Neurospora crassa OR74A: one gene and its partner. The protein of the gene in region 1 purifies or fractionates together with the protein of each later gene. This does not show direct contact. Links are inferred from orthologs where the notes say so. Each region holds a gene or a part of one and is shown in the gene's direction. Other genes may lie near its edges.

Region 1 (3,748 bases):
GGATGCTTTCCACGGAAGTCATGAACACCATTTCGAGAAAATCATCAACCAAGTTAACTGAAAACATATACGTATATCTCACCACACTGATTCCCCTTCACTCCGTAGCGATTGCCAGAAGCTCCTGCCCAAACGCTCAACTGGAATATAAATAGGTAGTAGCTACATCACTTGCCAATTGGAGTGAGTGTTTATGATGTGTAAGATGCCCGGGGGCATGAAGTGTTATCATCTTTACCGTTGCGCAATCTGATCCGATCTGACCGATTTGGATTCAGGTTTTGGTTTGGGGGTCCAGCATCGGATAGACGGTAGGTCTTCCTTGTACTTCAGGGTTGGGTTAGGTAGGGCGGGTTGGGATCTCGGTTGATGGAAGTCGGAACTGGAGCTAGACCCGGAGCCGGAGCTGGGCCCGGGACCTGAGCGGGAATTGTGGGTCTCTTTCGGATGCCGTAAGTCCAGTACCGCAAAGACTCGGGCCCGCCTGAAATTGCATGCGAGACGGTAATTCAGGGTCTCCCTGCCCTTCGGGGATAAAGAGGAGGAAAAGCAAGGACACCAGAAGAATCGAATTCACACTCCTCCAGAGTGGCAACGCGTCTGAGTCTCGAGGCGTCGAGGTCTGCTCAGGCCTCAGGGTCCATCCAGCTCTGCATTCCGACCAAGCGTCACACCAAGGCACCAAACATAACCCTGCGGATGGGCAACATGTACTATGAAAACCACCGTGGTGTCCCATCGACGATACAAAGATTTACAAAAGTGTCGGTGATGACAGGCACTGAACTGAAATGACTTGGGCTCCCTGGCATGTTTCTGCGTGATTCACAATGACTGTACCTGATACTGAATGCAAATGGCCAAACCACGTGCTGCTGTGAGCAACGAACTCCGACCAAAGCTCAACAGTCGGTTCAGCCACCCAAAGAGTTGATGAGGTAAGCGATGCAAACAGTGGCACATGCAGCGGTGGGGGGTGGATTGTGACGTCAACCGAGAACGAGCGTCTGCCCCAACACGTGTAGCAATTCGACAAGTGCAAGTCGCTGATGGAAAAGTGTTTGCTGGATTGTGTGCATGAACGAGCTGAAACGGATGTGGCAGAGCAAGACGGTGAGGACGGACGGAGGGATGGATATTTTCTCACAAATCGCATAGTGAATCGTCTTTCATCTTTGCCATTGTTCTTTTTGAGGGTCTAGCCAAGCCAGCACTCGGGCCAGAGTTGAACAAAAAAAAAAGATTCCAAAAAGTTGTCGAATGCATCGTTTCGTTGGAGCGCTGACCAACCGATAAGCAGACGATAAGCCAGCCGTTGTTGCCTTGTGGCCTGACCGCTACCTACCTTTAGTGTATGTAGACGGGAGGTCTGGTAATTCCTTGCCAAGGCTGGTTCCTTATCAGATGGCTTTTGGCGGGCAGTATCAGCAAATCGTTATCAGAGAATTTGTGAAAATTCAAAGCCCCACCATACTCTAGGTCCCTGGCAGAGCCACTGTGAGTGAAGGACGGAGGGAGGCTCGAGTCCTTGTCGCCCGCCCCGCCGCTTTGAAGTTTTGGCAGTGACAGTGCAATCGCCCCCCCCACCTCTTCTGCCCTGGCAGGCCTGGTTGGGTACAAGCAAAATCGCAAGCCAAGAACGTGTACTGGACCCCCAATCATTCTTTGCCTTCGACCGAACCCGACATTTGACTTTGACTGTCCCCGTCTTGCTTGCTCTCTTTTTTCCTTTCCACTTCCCCTTGTGTGCTCGACGGTCGGTTTTTTCGTCTGTCTGTCCAGAGTGTGTGTGTTTTCGATCGGATTCCTTCTTAGTCCGCCCACCACTCCCTCCAGTCTCCATCACTATTTGTTTGGTGATTCTGTTTAGAGAGAACTAGATTCTTTCGACACCTTCTTTTTTTTCAACCCCCCCCCAAAGGTATCCCTTCGTGTTTGTGCATCGTCACCAACACAACTCCACCAAACCAAATCAACCACAGAATCATCACTCAAGATGCCGCCCTCCGCCTCCAAGCAGAAGCGCCTCGCCGAGAAGGCCGCCAAGGCCAACAAGGGCAAGGCCGCCAAGGAAGTCGAGCTCGATGCTTTTGGCAAGCCCGTCGTCTCGGATGAGCCCGCTACCAAGAGCGAGCAGATGGACGAGGTCAAGCGCCTCGCCCAACAGATGGACAAGCACGGTCTCTCGGATCGTGTCACCACCGGTGTCTTGGCCTCTACCAAGGCTTCCAAGGACGTCAAGATCACCTCCGTCTCCCTCGTCTTCCACGGCCGCGTCCTGATCAAGGATGCCACTCTCGAGCTTACCCTCGGCCGCAGGTACGGTCTTTTGGGTGAGAACGGTTGCGGCAAGTCCACCCTTCTCAAGGCCATCGCCGCCCGCGAGTACCCCATTCCCGAGCACGTCGACATCTACCTTCTCAACGAGGGTGCTCCTCCCAGCGAGCTCGGTGCCCTTGACTGGGTCGTCACCGAGGCCAAGAACGAGTTGGCGCGCCTCGAGAGCGTCGCCGAGAAGATTCTTGAGGAAGAGGGCCCCGATTCGCCCCTCCTCGAGGACCTCTACGATGTATGTATCCCCCAAATCCTATGATCACACCGAACTGGGCGCATTCACAATACTAACTCTGCCATCACAGCACATTGACAAGATGGATCCCTCCACCTTCGAGACCCGCGCTTCCCTCATTTTGACCGGTCTCGGTTTCAACAAGCAGACCATCCAGAAGAAGACCAAGGACATGTCCGGTGGTTGGCGTATGCGTGTCGCCCTCGCCAAGGCCCTCTTCGTCAAGCCCACCCTCCTCCTTCTCGACGACCCTACTGCCCATTTGGATCTCGAGGCCTGCGTGTGGCTGGAAGAATACCTCAAGAAGTGGGACCGTACCCTCGTCCTGGTTTCTCACTCCGAGGATTTCCTCAACGGTGTCTGCACAAGCATGATCGACATGCGCCTCCAGACCCTCATCTACTATGGTGGTAACTACGACACTTACCACAAGACCCGCGCCGAGCAGGAGACCAACCAGATGAAGGCCTACCAGAAGCAGCAGGATGAAATTGCCCACATCAAGAAGTTCATTGCTAGCGCTGGTACCTACGCCAACTTGGTCCGTCAGGCCAAGTCTCGCCAGAAGATTCTCGACAAGATGGAGGCCGACGGCTTCATCCAGCCTGTCAAGCAGGACAGAGTCTTCTCCTTCCGCTTCGCCGATGTCGAGAAGCTCCCTCCTCCCGTTCTGTCGTTCGACAACGTCACCTTCTCGTACTCTGGCGACCCCAAGGACGACCTGTACCGCCACATCGATCTCGGTTTCGACATGGACTCCCGTACCGCTCTTGTCGGCCCCAACGGTGTTGGCAAGTCCACCCTGCTCCGTCTCATGACCGGCAAGCTCTCCCCCACCGATGGTGTCGTCCAGCGCCACACCCACTTGAAGCTCGGTCTCTACTCCCAGCACTCTGCTGAGCAGCTCGACCTGACCAAGTCGGCTCTCGACTTCGTCCGTGACAAGTACCCCGACAAGTCTCAGGACTACCAGTACTGGCGCCAGCAGCTTGGCAAGTACGGTCTCTCCGGTGAGGCCCAGACCTCGCTCATCGGTACTCTTTCCGATGGTCAGAAGTCCCGTATTGTCTTCGCCCTTCTCGCCATCGAGTCTCCCAACATGCTCTTGCTCGACGAGCCTACCAACGGCCTCGATATCCCCACCATTGACTCGCTTGCCGATGCCATCAACGCTTTCAC
Region 2 (3,748 bases), on another chromosome or scaffold:
TCAAGAGCCTGTTGGATAAGTTGGATGGAGGCAAACATACTGCTGAGTGGATGGGCGAGGGCACTGCGGACCAGTATTTTGAACTGGCGTATAACGTGTTGATGTATTATCTTAGGCAAGTTTACTAAGTGCTTGGAATTCTAAGGCGGGGGGGGGGGGGGGGGGGAAGGGCAAGATACACTGGTAATAAACGGACGTGTGATCCAGTGTCGGCCTACAAGCCGTCCTGATGAATGCCTTGGTGGTGTAGCTACAGCATAATAGAAAAGCGAATAAAGAATATCACTAGCAACATCTGGTTAATGAAATACCCATTATGACAAGGTGAGGGAGTTGGCCTGCCCCCTTGGATGGAATATCGCACAAAATACACCAAAGTGGTAGAAAGTAAATACAGAAATTAGCCCAGCAAGTGCCCCACTTGTGCCTTAACAAGCAGGTGCCCCGCATTCTGCACCAACGAGTCGGTCACTGTACTTGTACGCGGGAGTGCAGGAGCTTCCACTTCTTTTTCACCACTGCACTGTACTGTACTGTATTTGTCTTGACTGCTGTCTCCAACAGTCTGTGCAGTGTCAAGTCAAGGGCTTGGTCAAAGCGACACCTCCTGGCTCCGGCACAAGTAAAAAAAAAAGTTTGGAGTGGCGATCCTTGTCTGGATTTTTCTGCTGAATCGAGACTCCTTTGACTTTGCGACTTCGACTACTTGGGATTGAGTTAGAGAACGGGACATGATTGCCGTTTTTTGACCGTAGACGGAGACAATACCAAACACTTTATACGGGTTGAAAGAAAGCGCATAGGCAGACGGTGTAAGTACAGGTACTGAGATAGGTACGTACCTGACCTCTATATAGTGTAGCAACAAACCAGAGCGGGATTCGATACAAAGAACAACGAAAGAAAAAAAAAAGATCCACGGTGCCAAGTACCTACAGTACCATCGATCCACTCTGCAGCACCACCACCGAAAAGTGATACAAGTGACAAGCCCTATCCCGTCGACAAGGGGGGACCTACAGCACCAAAAAAAGTACGCCGCCTGCCTTCTTTAGCAGCCAGCCATATCGCATATAACGGCCCAGTAGCCCCAGTCGGCCGCCCCACGAACCCACCACCAGAACCACCTAGCGAGCAACGAGGTCTTCACCCGGACTTCGACTTTCGTCACAAGGAGAGAAGGAGAGCCCATCAGGATCCTCTCCCCCGCCCATCCTACCGACGACATCCCCGCCTCAAGGTATTCCCCGGTCGACTACCAACAGTCCAGTTAGCCCAACATGGCGCCCAAGAAGAAGGGAAACAAGAAGGCCAACGATGACTGGGAGGCCGAGCTGGGCGAGTCCATCGCCCCCGTCAACAACAACGGCGCCGATGCTGCTGCCGCCTCTCCCGCTGCCGCCGACGACGAGGCCGCTTCCGGTGGTGGCGGTCTGATGGAGAGAATGCGCAAGGCCAAGGAGAAGCGCAAGAAGAAGGGTCTTGCCGACGACTGGGAGGCTGAGCTGGGCGAAGACGCTCCCGGCGCCGAGAAGCCCGCTGCCGCCGAGCCCGTCCCCGATCTGTCGGCCAAGGTCGCCGAGGAGGCCAACCTCGACGACGAGTTCGCTCTCCCCGAGAAGAAGGGCAAGGGTGGCAAGGGCAAGCAGCAGCAGCAGCAACAGAAGGCTGCTCCCGCCGCCGCCGCCAAGAAGGACGAGGATGCTGCCGATGAGGATGGCCCTAGGGTGTTGACCAAGGCCGAGAAGGAGAAGCTCAAGAAGGAGCGTGAGAAGCAGCGCAAGAAGGAGCAGGTGAGTACCCAGTCATTATCACTATTACCCACTAATGACTATACATACATCAGACACAAACGGAAGACTAACAACAACTTCTTTTCACTAAACAGGCTGCTGCTAAGAAGAAGGGCACCACACCCGCCGCCGCCGCCAAGGCCGAGCCCGCAAAGGAGGAGAAGAAGGCCGAAACCCCCAGCCCCGTCTCGACCCCCGCTTCCACTCCCGCCCCCGAAGCCGCCGCCGGTGGCAAGAAGAAGAAGCTCCCCGCCCACCTGCTCGCCCTCCAGAAGCAGCAGGAGGAGCTGCGCCGTCGCCAAGAGGAGGAGGCTAGGCTCCTCGCCGAGGAGAAGGCCAGGATAGAGGAGGAGGAGCGCGCCGCTGCCGAGGAGGCCAAGCGCAAGGAGGAGGAGCGCGCCCGCAAGAAGGAGAAGGAGAAGCAGAGGATCGAGCAGCTCAAGAAGGAGGGCAAGTTCATGACCAAGGCCCAGAAGGAGGAGAAGGCCCGCAACGAGAGGAAGCTGCAGCAGATGTTGGCGGCCGGTATCAAGGTCAACGCGCTCGAGGGTGAAGAGTCCAAGAAGAAGCCTGTCTACGACGACAAGAAGAAGAGGGCTGCTAACAAGAAGGTGAGTCTGTCCGGGATTCTTGCTACAATTACGGTATACTATGGACGGCGCTAACCAGTGTCTACTTGCTACAGAAGGACGAGGAAAAGGCTCTCGCCGAGGCCGCTGAGCGCGCAAGACTCGCCGCTGAGGCTCTGGTCAAGGAGCAAGAGGAGAAGGCCCGCATCGAGCGCGAGAAGGCCGAGAAGGAGGCTGCTGCCAAGGCTGAGGCCGCCAAGGCCGCCGCTGAGGACAGCGTCGACGAGGACTGGGAGGCCGCTGTTGCCTCTGACAAGGAGGATGTCAAGGACAGCTGGGACGCCGACTCCGACGAGGAGGAGGAGACCAAGAAGGAAGAGACCAAGAAGGAGGCTTCTAAGCCCGCCGCGGCCAACGGCAAGACTCAGGCCAAGAAGGAGGAGTCCGAGTCCGAGTCCGAGTCTGAGGAGGAATCTGAAGAGGAATCTTCTGAAGACGAGGAGGCTACCGCCAGGGAACTGGAGGAGGCCCGGAGGAAGAAGGAGGCTGCCGAGCGCCGCGAGAAGGCTCACCAGGCCGCTCTGGCTGCCAGGTCTGCGGACAACCTCCGCTCGCCTATTTGCTGTATTCTTGGTCACGTCGATACTGGTAAGACGAAGCTGCTCGACAAGATTCGTCAGACCAACGTCCAGGAGGGTGAAGCCGGTGGTATCACTCAGCAGATTGGTGCCACTTACTTCCCCGTTGAGGCCATCAAGCAGAAGACGCACGTCGTCAACAGGGACGGCAAGTTCGAGTTCAAGGTTCCCGGTCTTCTTATCATCGATACCCCCGGTCACGAGTCTTTCTCCAACTTGCGTTCGCGTGGTTCTTCGCTCTGCAACATCGCCATCTTGGTTGTCGATATCATGCACGGTCTCGAACCCCAGACTCTCGAGTCCATGAGACTGCTCCGTGAGAGGAAGACGCCCTTCATCGTCGCTCTCAACAAGATCGATCGTCTTTACGGCTGGAAGAAGATCGAGAACAACGGCTTCCAGGAGTCGTTGGCCCTCCAGAACAAGGCTGTCCAGAACGAGTTCAAGAACCGTCTCGAGCAGACCAAGCTCGCCTTCGCCGAGCAGGGTTTCAACTCGGAGCTCTTCTACCAGAACAAGTCCATGGCCAAATACGTCTCCTTGGTCCCCACCTCTGCCCACACCGGCGAGGGTATCCCCGACATGTTGAAGCTCATTGTCCAGCTTACCCAGGAGCGCATGGTTGGCTCTCTCATGTACCTCTCCGAGGTCCAGGCTACCGTTCTCGAAGTCAAGGCCATCGAGGGTTTCGGTATGACCATCGATGTCATTCTCACCAACGGTATCCTCAGGGAAGGTGACCGCATTA

Evidence for each region. The genes of interacting proteins can lie anywhere in the genome.
Region 2: the proteins of NCU08920 (region 1) and NCU05270 purify together in Saccharomyces cerevisiae (affinity purification with mass spectrometry, with the first as the bait; 3 studies listed by BioGRID). This does not show direct contact. The link is inferred for Neurospora crassa OR74A from reciprocal best matches to the Saccharomyces cerevisiae genes ARB1 and FUN12.

The regions. Positions count from the first base shown.
Region 1 is NC_026505.1:623,263-627,010, reverse strand, and holds the start of NCU08920 (ATP-binding cassette sub-family F member 2), read left to right. Parts: upstream 1-1,507; 5' UTR 1,508-1,996; coding exon 1,997-2,569; intron 2,570-2,639; coding exon 2,640-3,748. UniProt on the Saccharomyces cerevisiae protein: ATPase that stimulates 40S and 60S ribosome biogenesis.
Region 2 is NC_026504.1:5,514,683-5,518,430, forward strand, and holds the start of NCU05270 (mitochondrial translation initiation factor IF-2), read left to right. Parts: upstream 1-992; 5' UTR 993-1,280; coding exon 1,281-1,793; intron 1,794-1,888; coding exon 1,889-2,404; intron 2,405-2,478; coding exon 2,479-3,748. Other genes in the region: NCU05271 (hypothetical protein), read left to right, coding at 1-128. UniProt on the Saccharomyces cerevisiae protein: Plays a role in translation initiation. Translational GTPase that catalyzes the joining of the 40S and 60S subunits to form the 80S initiation complex with the initiator methionine-tRNA in the P-site base paired to the start codon.